3 linked regions of the Callithrix jacchus genome follow. The protein of the gene in region 3 interacts with the protein of the main gene of each other region in a biochemical or structural test. Links are inferred from orthologs where the notes say so. Each region holds a gene or a part of one and is shown on either strand. Other genes may lie near its edges.

Region 1 (4,283 bases), on a different chromosome or scaffold from region 3:
AGGGGTAGGGTTACTGATGAAAGATTTTGAACATCTTTCTGGCTCTTCAAATTTTACCTGTCACAAGATCTGTTGCCCCAGGCCTTAGCCTCTGCAAAGCCATGACCCTAAGGTCTGGCCTCTCCCCCATCTCCCCTCCTTAGTGTTTTGCTGTCACCCTTTTCACCTGGGGCCTCTGCCTCAGCCTCCCACAGCCCACTCCTTCTCTTGCCCACAGGACTGCAGGCTTCTCCTCCCCAAGCAAGCTGGGGCTACGCGTTGCAGCGCTTGGCTATCGAAACTTTGCCATTGCCAATGCAATCTGGCTCGTTGGCATGCACTGTGTTTACCTTAACTTCAGGGTGTCCTGCATAGGTCCCCAGGAAGATAAACCTTGGGTGATGTGTCATTTTCCCCTTTCCCCCACCTTTCCGTGTAGGCAGCGCATCTAGTTGGCACTCCATAATTATCCTAAGTATTTACAAAACAACGTTGAAGTTCCATGCTGTTTAGGTAGATCCCTTAAACTTGATTAACATACAAGACAATTTGCATCAGGAGCAGATGAGCTAGGGCCCAGGGATATGATAAAAGTGCAGTTTCATGCATTCATTCTACGAGAACTCACTGAGCAACTACTATGTGACATTATCCACTACGGTGAATAAAAGACAAAACAAACAACAACAACAACAACAAAACAGCGGCCGGGCGTGGTGGCTCACGTCTGTAATTCAAGCACTTTGGAGGCCAAGGCAGGCGGATCACCTGAGGTCGGGAGTTCAAGACCAGCCTGACCAACATGGTGAAACCCCCGTCTTAAAAAAAAAAAAAAAAAAAAAAACCAGCCTGGTGCGGTGGCCCGGCAGGTATAGGCTGCAGTGAGCCGAGATCGCGCAACTGCACTACAGCCTGGGCAGCAGAACAAGACCCTTTTTCAGTAAGCAAATAAATAAATAAATTAATTAATTAAATGCCAGAAAGTAAAAATAAAGAGTGTTAAATGGCAATTAGAGCTAGGGAGGAAATCAGGCGGGGGAAAGAAACTGAAAGCGAGGAGCGGCTGGCAAGTCTCCCTCGGAAGGTGGCAATAGACCGGTCACATCAACTGGGTGTTTACTGCTGGCCAGTGTGTGCCACCAACCTCAAACGCGAAAGCCACAAGGACTGACGCCACAACACAACAAGGCAGGGGCTTCTCTTAGTACACGAAAAGAGACGTAGGGCGCAGAGTTACGCTAGTCAGTAACCCCAGCATCTAGCCCTCAACCCTCCTACTTAGGCCCTCGCCCCTCCCTCCGGCTTTCCCCACTCCTTCTCCGGCGGAGACAGACAGCCTGCGCCGGCCGGAATATGCGCAGACGCAGAGCGCGGAGTGCGCCTGCGCAGAGTGCAGGGCGACGTGGCCGGTTGGAGTCCGGAAGTGGTCCCTGTAAAACTGTCGTCGCTCGGCTATTCCTTGCCGCGCTCGTCGAGCATTGCGTTGCTGCGTTGCGTCCCACCGGCTCCACTATGTTGAAGAAATTCGACAAGAAGGACGAGGAGTCAGGTGAGAGGGCCAGGCCTGGGCCTGGGGGGAAGCGGGACCCCCCCACTCGCCGAGCCTTCCTTTGGGGCCTCTGCCCTGACCCGAATTCTGAGGCCCAGTGAGGAGCAGGAGCTTGTGCCAGGGTCCGCAGCTAGTCAGTGGCAGGCCTCGGAGAGCCCGAGCATGCTTGGCTGTCTCGGTTGTAAGCTCGGACTGCAATTTTCTGAATGACCTTGGGTGCGTCACGCCCCTCTTTAGGCCCCAGTTTGCCCATTTGTCAAAGGAGGGCACCGGGCCGAATGGTCTCTTGTTACTTTCTTCGTCCACCCTCTTGAGGTTCGCCGGGGCTATGTCGGTGTTGGCCAAACTGGGGTGTAATTTGCGGAGCCAGTGTCTTGTGGCTGGGAACTCTGACTCCATCATTCATTTATTCAGCAAAGTGTGTTGAGCGGTTACTGTATGCCAGGCACCGTACGGTGTCCTGGATACTGCAACAGAGCAAGTAGGATACTCAGTGACTGATCTGGGAATATTAGAATGGTCGCACACACGGTGGAGGAGACGGACATCAACCAGATAATCTCATTATTTGCAAATGTGACGTCTGCTATGAAGGAACTGGTTACAGGAAGATGGTGGTCCCTGGCACACAGGGACTTAATTACGAGTTATATAAATGAACGCAAGACATGGCACCGTAAGAAGCATAAGACTGTATCAGGGCTGTTGGGAGATTGTGAGTGGTTTGAGGTAGAATCCCTAGTAGAATCCCTAGACAGATTATAGAGCCTTGATTGCCATTGCTGATGAATTTGAACTTTACTAGATTTGCTAGGAAGGGACATCTTCCCTTTATCTTTGTCTGGGAGAAGTTCAGAATCACAACCTGCCTTCTCCATTGTTCTTGACTGTAGGTGGAGGCTCCAACCCGTTCCAGCACCTTGAGAAGAGTGCGGTACTCCAGGAGGCAAGTGACGTTTGCTCCCCTCTAGCTTCCATCATAAATATTCACCATCAGGGCAACTGAAATACCAACACATTCAAAGTATTGTTTTAAAGAGCAACACGGGAGAAAACTTGTGCCTGGAAGACAGGAAAACTTTGTTCCTGGAGACAATTCGTTATGCTTACTTCTTTTCTTTTCTTTTTTTTTTTGAGACAGAGTCTCCCTGTTGTTGGCCCAGGCTGGAGCACAATGGCACGATCTCGGTTTACAGCAACCTCCTCCTACTGGGTTCCAGCAATTCTCTTGACTCAGCCTCTTGAGAAACTGAGATTACATGCACCCACCACTACACCTGGCTAATTTTGTACTTTTAGTAGAGACGGGGTTTCACCATGTTGGCCAGGCTGATCTCAAACTCTTGACCTCAGGTGATCCACCTGCCTTAGCCTCTCAGTGCTAGGATTACAGGCGTGAGCCACTGTGCCCAGCTGCTTACTTCTTTATTGTTGTCATTCATTGTTTCTCTTTCCAGTTAGCAGATATTTGCTAAGTATCTGCTAATCGGTATGTTAGCACATCCCTAACTAATATTTACACAAGAGTCTAAGAATAATTAGTGGTTGAATTAAAAAAAAACTAATTATGAAAAGAAGCTTGTTGCATACCCAGAAAGCCCTGTTTAGACAAGTCTATTTACCCTGAGACTTCTCAGATATTTAATATACTTGAAAGGAAATGAACTAGGCTGGAAGATAACATCCTTGGTTACTTCTTCTTAGGCCCGTGTATTTAATGAAACTCCCATCAACCCTCGGAAATGTGCCCACATCCTCACCAAGATTCTTTATCTCATAAACCAGGTAACAGGGTGAGGCTTGGAGGTAGGGAGAATGGTGCTGGGGGATTGGAGGGGAGTGGACAAATCATGATCACTCTTAGGCTATTGGACGGCCTCTGTATGGTTGTAGACAACAGGGCAGCTCTGGGTCCCCTCAGCATCCAAGTCTCATGTGTTGCCTTTGAGCGTCTTTAGGGTCTGAGGATCTGGTGTGGGCTGATCCTGCAGGAAGAGCTGTCTGACGACTCTGTCCCAAGCTGAGACTTCTTTCTTGATTAACACAGGGGGAGCACCTGGGGACCACGGAAGCGACCGAGGCTTTCTTTGCCATGACCAAGCTCTTTCAGTCCAATGATGTAAGTGCCCTGACCCAGCTTTTTTTTGACAGGTGGCAGCTGTGACAAGGTGATGGGAGGCCAAGGGGTGCTGGCCCCACCAGTCAGTGTGGGCTGCCTTTGTGTAGATAGGAGATTTCTTCTCCCAACTCTGGCCCTCGGTAAGCCTGGGCTGATAGGCTTTTCCCACCTATCTCTCAGCCAACACTCCGTCGAATGTGCTACTTGACCATCAAGGAGATGTCTTGCATTGCAGAGGATGTCATCATTGTCACCAGCAGGCAAGTCATGGGGTTGTGGGTGGCTCCTCTGATGGATTCCATTGACAGACCATTTTTTCTTGTGTGTACCAGACAGTGAGACTTTTGGTTGCATATTGCCAGCTGCCCTTCTGCCCTTTCCTTTTCTGTGTCCCTTATTCTTCAATTACTGCTGCCCACTGCATGGCAGCCTCCAGGTGTGCTGTTTCCATTTTAATTCTCTGGCCTTGACTTGGACACAAACTCTTCCTTTCCTTGATTTCTCTTAGTCAGCCAAACCAGCCTAGAACTTTCCCATATATTTTCTTTTTTCTTTTTTTTTTTTTTTTGAGATGGAGCCTTGCTCTGTCCCCACGCTGGAGTGCAGTGGCACTATCTTGGCTCACTGCCACCTCCA
Region 2 (3,648 bases), on a different chromosome or scaffold from region 3:
CCTGGTGGAAGAAAAAAGGTAGAGAGAGTAGGTGGCCTGAGATAAGCAAGTAGGAAAGAAGGAGTTACCAGCCAGGCGTGGTGGCACATGCCTGTAATCCCAACACTTTGGGAGGTTGAGGTGGGCAGATCACCTGAGGTCAGGAGTTCAAGACCAGCCTGGGCAATATGATGAAACCCCATCTCTATTAAAAACACAAAAATTAGCCAGCATGGTGACATGCACCTGTAATCCCTGCTACTTGAGAGGCTGACATGGGAGAATCGACTGAACTTGGGAGGCAGAGGTTGCAGTGAGCCACTGCACTCCAGTCTGGGTGAGAGAGAGAGAGACAGACTCCGTCTCAAAAAAAAAAAAGAGTTCCCATGAATGCCTAGTATCCAGCTGTTTTGGGCTAAGGTGAGGCTGACTGTAATCGACTATAATGACCTCCAAAGATAGATGATCTGCACTTTTTGGGTGATGGCAGGAGAAGAGAAGTATAAACTTGGGGGAGTCTAATGTATCTTCTCTAACCATCATCCTCTGCTCCTGCCCACTATACCTATTTCCCTCCTTGTTGTATGTGAGACAGGATACCAGTCGATCCTTCGGAGGTGAAAATGCAGAGCGGTCACCTTTACAGACTTCCATTTACCTGCCCTAATGGATGCGGTACAATAAGCAGAGCTGCAGTTAAATTTGTCAAGTGAGGCTCATAAATCCAGGAACTAGACAGGTAGCTAACAGCCAACCTTCCAGCACGGTATTCCCGCGTGAGGTACACTCACCTCCCCATTACATTTCTGAAGAGTTTATTATACAAGGGGAGGAAGAAAAAAAAGGAAAAGGAGGCAGAGTCATTTCATCCTTTCTCTGCAGCCCTGCTACCACCCGCTTCCCACCATGGTTCCCCCCAACATGAGGAGTAGTGAAAGGAAAATGACCTACTGTCAGTCCGATGGGTCTTGTTGAAAATGTTCTTCTCAAAGGCCTTTTGCTCCTTGACACTGGGGTAGGTGTCGTCATAGTACTGGTCAGAGGGAAAGGAGACAGGGTTGGGTCACTAGAGCTGGAAGCTCAGAATGATTAGTGACTATATTTTGCCCTGGGATCTTGGATTTCTCTCTTTCAAGGCATGGGGCAAGGGAGAAATACTGACATGGAAAAGGAAGGACTATAGAGGCAGAGAATGGGTAGTGAGTAATCTAAGAAAATACATAAAAGACCCTGCCATAAGCAACCCTCCTCACATGTTTAAGACTGTCTGAGGGCAGAAGCCTACCAGCCCTACGGTGAGGCTCTGTGCCTGTGTGCAGTCTAGAGCTCTCCTAAGGGTATTCTCATCAAGTGTTTCCCAGGAGCTACTGCATGGCAGGGAGCAGTGCCAGAGAACACAAAAAACACCAGAAGCACAGAACACTTCCTTAGACCCTCACTCACTGTATGAAGCTGAGGAATGGAGAAAGGCTACAAAAACCTCCTCCAAAGAAAGGCAAACCTTGCCCTATGGTCTATCTTAGCTTTCTTTTCTGCAAGCTGAAAGAACCATCCAGCATACAACAGAGCCCATTCCCAGGCTCTCCCTGGCAAGGGGGCTGAGATCCAGGCTGCTAAATTGCTAGCTCTTTAGGGGCTAATCCGTCGCAGTCAGCTGAAGACCTATGACAGGTCTGGCATTTAGGAACTGGATAACTGTTTCAAAAGGTGTCCTGCATAGTTACATCCAATTACAGGGAGGAACAGCTGGTGAATTCTAAACTAATCTCTACCTGCTGATTGATTTATGCTATGCTTGCCCAGAGTTAATACACCAGGGACAGAAAGAATGTCTACAGGAGGGGGAGAATATGGAGGGAGAGGAGAGGGGTGTCCTTTCTTCTTCCTTCCAACAGATCCAAAGTTGGAAACATCACTCTGGGAAAGTCAGGAGGTAACAAGCTTGATGGTGACTATAGACCTAGGACTGGAACCTTGGGACTGCAAGAGAATTCTCCGGAAAAACCCAGGCAGGGTGACAAGGTAGAAGGGAAGGGGACAGGAATGATGGACATGAGCAGGCTGCCTCTTAGCATCTACATACTGCTTTGTTAGGAACCAAAGTTTCAAAGCTTTTCCCTAATTTGATGCTGACAACAATGGAGGTCAAAGTCTGAGGACAGCAAGCAGGGGAGCAGTACAACTAAGGGACAAAAGAAAACTCGGGTTTTATCTGGAGTAGGCAAGAAAGGATGGAAGAATTCAGGCCAGGCCCAGTGGCTCAAGCCTGTAATGCCAGCACTTTGAGAGGCTGAGGTGGGCAGGATGGCCTGAGGTCAGGAGTTCGAAACTACCCTGGCCAACATGGTGAAACCCTGTCTCTACTAAAAATAGAAAAATTAGATGGGCATGGTGGCAGGCACCTGTAATCTCAGCTACTCAGGAGGCTGAGGCAGGAGAATCACTTGAACCCGGGAGGCAGAGGTTGCAGTGAGCTGAAATCATGCCATTGCACTCCAGCCTGGGCAATAAGAGCAAAACTCCGTCTCAAAAAAAAAAAAAGGCGGGCACCGTGGCTCTTGCCTGTAATCCCAGCACTTTGGGAGGCTGAGGGGGGCAGACCACAAGGTCAGGAGTTTAAGACCAGCCTGACCAACATGGTGAAACCCGTCTCTACTAAAAATACCAAAAAATTAGCCGGGCATGGTGGCACTCGCCTATAATCCCAGCTACTCAGGAGGCTGAGGTGGGAGAATCGCTTGAACCTGGGAAGCAGAGGTTACAGTAAGTCAAGATGGTAATACTGCACTCCAGTCTGGGTGACAGAGCAAGACTCTGTCTCAAAAAAAAAAGAAAGAATTCTCAAAATTATACTACTGAGGTACATGAATTAATAGGGGATCAGTCCCAAGATTCAAATCTCAGAATAAGACTTTGTGCTGTTCCTAAACTAATTCGAAAGGGAATCTCACCTTGGCAAAAAGTCGATCTCCATCATTGTCCAGAATCAGGATGGCTTTGACAGTATACAGGGAAGGTTCCTGAAGAGATATGAACATACCTTCAGTCCTAAAGGCTCCCACTACCACTGGTAAACCAGATAACTTCCCCTAATCCCACTGGGGCTGCAAGGGGATACAGAGGTACCTCTGTAAGTCCCTTACCTCAACATGGTCAGATTTTGATATTTCCCATTGAGAAAGACCCAGAGTAAGTAAACTGAATTGATAGAGAAAACATTTCAACAAAGGATTCCAAAGTATCATCAGAGAAACAGTTTCTCTGCCTCATAGGGGGCTTAATCAAGAGAGGTCATGCTGTTATTTCCAAATATTATGGTACAGTTATTTTCCAAATTACCCTCTCCCTTCCTGCTCTCCCATGCACAGGTGGCTACAGAATGTGACCAGATTAATTAAAAGGCACTGAACAAGGCCATTTCAAAATAGGGTTGTATGTCCTAGTATACTTGGAAGTTTCTGCAGTCCAAATGCAGTAGCAATGCAGAAGCATAAAGCAAGCCTTCCCTAAACAACCCACACACTGAGCAGAGGGAAAAGAGCATTTACATACACACACACACACACACACACACACACGCAGAGAGGCATACCAGTTCTCAATGCAGCCTAGTAAGACAGCCATCTCCCCAAACTTTCCTATATTCTCCAGTATTTCCACTATACCTTA
Region 3 (3,648 bases):
ACATATATTTCACTGAAGGGGATATATAGATGGCATATGAGCACATGAAAAGATATTCGACATCATTGGCCATTGGAACATGTAAATTAAAACCATATGTGGCATCATTATACACATCTATGTGAATGGTTAAGATAATAATACCAAATGCTGGTGTGGATGTGAAGAAACAATCAATCATACATTGCTGTATGAATTGTATGAGTGGCTATATGTGAAAGATACAACCAGTCTGGAAAAAGAGTAGGGTAGTTTCTTACAAAAATAAATGTTTACCACACAACCCAACAATTGCCCTTTTGAGCATTTATCCCAGAAATGAAAATGTTCACATAAAAACCTGTACATGAATGTTCACAGCAGCTTTATTAGTAAGGGCAAAAAACTGAAAACAACTCTTCTGTCCTTTAGTGGGTGAATGGTTAAGCAAACTGTGGTACATCCATACCATGGAATACTACTCAGCAATCAAAAAGAACTGCCCAGACTTTACCACAATCCAATATATGCACATAAGAAATCTGCACTTATACCCCCTAAATATATAAAACATTTTTTAAAAGAAAAAAAGGAACAAACTATTGATACATGCAACTTGGTTTCAAGAGAATTAACTGAATGAAGAAAAATCAACCTCGTTAAGATTACATTGTATATGATTCCATTCATAGAACATTCTTGAAATGACAAAATTACAGAGATGGTGGACAGAACAGCGGTAGCCACAGGTTGGGGTGAGGGGATAAGGGACGTGGCTGTGGCTGTAAAAGGGCAGCAAAAGGGATCTGTGTGATAGAACTGTTCTGTCTCTTGTGATGGTAGTCACATGAATCCACATGTGATAAAATTGCACAGAACTAAATAAACATACACGAATAAAGTTCAAGCAGTTGAGCACAAATATTTTAATTGCCTGAAATGACATTTTCTTTAAGAGTTATCTACAGTTCAAAGCTCACTTTTATGAAGTGTCACATCCATCACCATTTTCAGAGACATAAAGTCATGAAAACGTATCACCAGAAGCTATGTAAACATTTCAGCTAAGGGTAAAGGGAAAGTTAAGGGTGTTTTCACAAGAAAACTGAAAGAGGGCAATCCGAATGAAGTCAACATGGTCACATAAAATCTTGGTAAAAGAAGTACAATGGAAGCCCAAGCTGCTGAGCAAGTGGGAGAAGAAAAGAAAACATGGTTCAAACAGATCACACAAGGGAACCCAGGACAAATGCTGACTTTGGCATTATCAAGGTAACCCCTGTTTTTTTGTCATAGGTGACTCTAATAATAGACCTATTGTTGCAAAACCAGTCCAAATCCTACCAAATTAAAAAGAAGTCCCTCATTGACTTTTTGGGTGTAGGTGGTACCCCGTGTCCTCCCACACCAAAAGAGATCAGTTCTGGCAAGAAAGCTCCAACGTGCCTTGATGGTGCTATTGGTAGGATGCCTTAGGCCAGATACGTCCCAGCGATGTTCTGCTGGCTGAGGTACAAGGTGGGAGAAGATGTGCCTCAGTCATTCATTACTCAATCAACTTCTTGGCCTTGAAGAAGCGTCGCAGGTAGAAGACCTGCCAGGTGGCTAGTCCAATGAGGCAGAACATTGAAAAGATGCTGAAGTATAGGACCCGAGTGTTTGTTGACTCTAAAAAAAAAAAAGCATTATAAACATAATGAAGTGAGCCTCCTCAGCTGGCTAAACAATGGCAGGGGAGGTGGGTAAAGGCAATTAACTTCACTCTGTTCCTAGGTCTAATAGTAGGATTTCAGCTAATTTTTTTTAAGTTCATTATCCTATATATAAATGTTGAAAATTACAAAGATTGGTGCTATTTGATATGGGTATAGGTTAACAGGATGTTGTCAACTGCATTTATCACAGTAGAAATTTCTACTTTCTTGAAAATCTAACAAGGCTCATTTACCGTTAGAAGCAGCAACAGTGAAGCAAGCAACTTCCCTTCCATTTACCCGTCTTGGCAAAACTGAGAAAAGGGTACACCAGAATTCAAAGTTTGGGAATGGTCTCATTTATGGATCACTTAAGAAGAGTCGCCTTCCCCCTCACCATTGGTATCACGCATCTCCTCTTCTCTCTTCTTCATGTAGGCAAAATCATTAACAATAGATTCTGAAAGGTCTTCTAGGCGTCGCAGCTCCACCTCTAATGGTTTGAGCTTCTCAACTTTTGCAATCTGGAAAAGAATGAATATTTTCAGCTCCCTGAAAACATTGCTTCAGTCAAGAACATAAGGAAGGCAACGGAGGAGTCTTTTTTTTTTTGAGATGGAGTCTCACTCTGTCGCCAGGCTGGAGTGCCGTGGTGTGATCTTGGCTCACTGTAACCTCCATCCAACTCTCCAGCTCAAGCCATTCTCCTGCCTCAGCCTCCCATGTAGCTGAGATTAAAGGCACACACCACCATGCCCAGCTAATTTTTGTATTTTTAGTAGAGATGGGGTTTCACCATGTTGGCTAGGATGGTCTCAATCTCCTGACCTTGTGATCCGCCCGCCTCAGACTCCCAAAGTGCTGGGATTAAAGGCGTGAGCTACTGTGCCAGTCTTAGGAGTCTTATTTTAAAAGTTTCACCAGATTTAAATTCTTCCCTATCAATCATCCTAACATTTTTAAATTTGGGCTTCTTTCTTTCCCTATAGACTATATCTTTCCATTTCAGACCTTTTTTGATACTTTAATTTTGACTAAAATCTCTTTAGAAGTAATATAACAACAGTAGGCTATTAAGTAAGATATACTATTGTCTCAAAATTTTTTGTTTTGAGACAGGGTCTCACTCACTTTGTTGCCCAGGCTGGAGTGCAGTGGCATGTTATCGGCTGATTGCAGGCTCAACCTCCTGGGCTCAAGCAATCATCCTGCCGCCTCAGCTTCCCCAGTAGCTGGGACCACAGTCACGCACTGCCAGCTAATTTTTGTACTTTTTTGTAGAGATGGGGTTTTACCATATTGGCCAGGCTGGTCTCAGACTCCTAAGCTGAAGCAATCTGCCCACCTGAGCCTCCCAAAGTGTTGGGACTACAGGTGTGAGCCACCAGGCCCAGCTGATTTTGGACTTTAGTAAAGCACTTTACTTTGCCCTTCCACTCATGTGTAAGAAGTAAACAATATTATTAATATAATAAATTTGAGAGTCATATTAGGTCAAACCTGATTTCAGAAGAAAAACCACTAAATTCATTAAACCTTGGACAGTACATAGGACTGACAGCATGTTATTAAACATGTGTTATTATAGCATTAAGGTAATAATTCAAAATACACAAGTAGAGAATTCTGGTTTGTTCCGATAAATCCTACAATAACTTTAAGGTTTAATATCAGAGCACAGATGTTAGAAAACTGCACTGATTTTTCTTTTAGAAATAACACAGCCAATTATCAAAAGAAATCTCGAAGGGAATTCCCTGTATACTGAGGAATGAAGGATATGAGAAAGAAATTAACTGTCTCCTGTTCTCAACTTAGACCCCTAAGAAAACTCTAAGAGTATCTAATAACTAGAGGCATGTATCACACCAGCAAAGATTTCATTATTCTATGTTTTTTTCTTAGCAATCTTAGATTATACTTGTCTTTAAAATGGGATAAACCACCAGAGCTTTCCAGAGCTTTTTTCTTTTTT

What was found.
Region 1: the proteins of TMED10 (region 3) and COPG1 form a complex in vitro, tested with the Homo sapiens proteins (2 studies listed by BioGRID). The link is inferred for Callithrix jacchus from reciprocal best matches to the Homo sapiens genes TMED10 and COPG1.
Region 2: the proteins of TMED10 (region 3) and COPZ1 form a complex in vitro, tested with the Homo sapiens proteins (2 studies listed by BioGRID, with this or other methods). The link is inferred for Callithrix jacchus from reciprocal best matches to the Homo sapiens genes TMED10 and COPZ1.

Annotation. Positions count from the first base shown.
Region 1 is NC_133516.1:72,872,881-72,877,163, reverse strand, and holds the start of COPG1 (coatomer subunit gamma-1), read left to right. Parts: upstream 1-1,391; 5' UTR 1,392-1,491; coding exon 1,492-1,528; intron 1,529-2,421; coding exon 2,422-2,474; intron 2,475-3,232; coding exon 3,233-3,313; intron 3,314-3,575; coding exon 3,576-3,647; intron 3,648-3,827; coding exon 3,828-3,907; intron 3,908-4,283. UniProt on the Homo sapiens protein: The coatomer is a cytosolic protein complex that binds to dilysine motifs and reversibly associates with Golgi non-clathrin-coated vesicles, which further mediate biosynthetic protein transport from the ER, via the Golgi up to the trans Golgi network.
Region 2 is NC_133510.1:65,209,477-65,213,124, forward strand, and holds part of COPZ1 (coatomer subunit zeta-1), read right to left. Parts: intron 3,000-3,648; coding exon 2,931-2,999; intron 1,013-2,930; coding exon 931-1,012; intron 2-930; coding exon 1-1. UniProt on the Homo sapiens protein: The coatomer is a cytosolic protein complex that binds to dilysine motifs and reversibly associates with Golgi non-clathrin-coated vesicles, which further mediate biosynthetic protein transport from the ER, via the Golgi up to the trans Golgi network.
Region 3 is NC_133509.1:110,048,698-110,052,345, forward strand, and holds part of TMED10 (transmembrane emp24 domain-containing protein 10), read right to left. Parts: intron 2,198-3,648; coding exon 2,071-2,197; intron 1,648-2,070; coding exon 1,526-1,647; 3' UTR 1-1,525. UniProt on the Homo sapiens protein: Cargo receptor involved in protein vesicular trafficking and quality control in the endoplasmic reticulum (ER) and Golgi.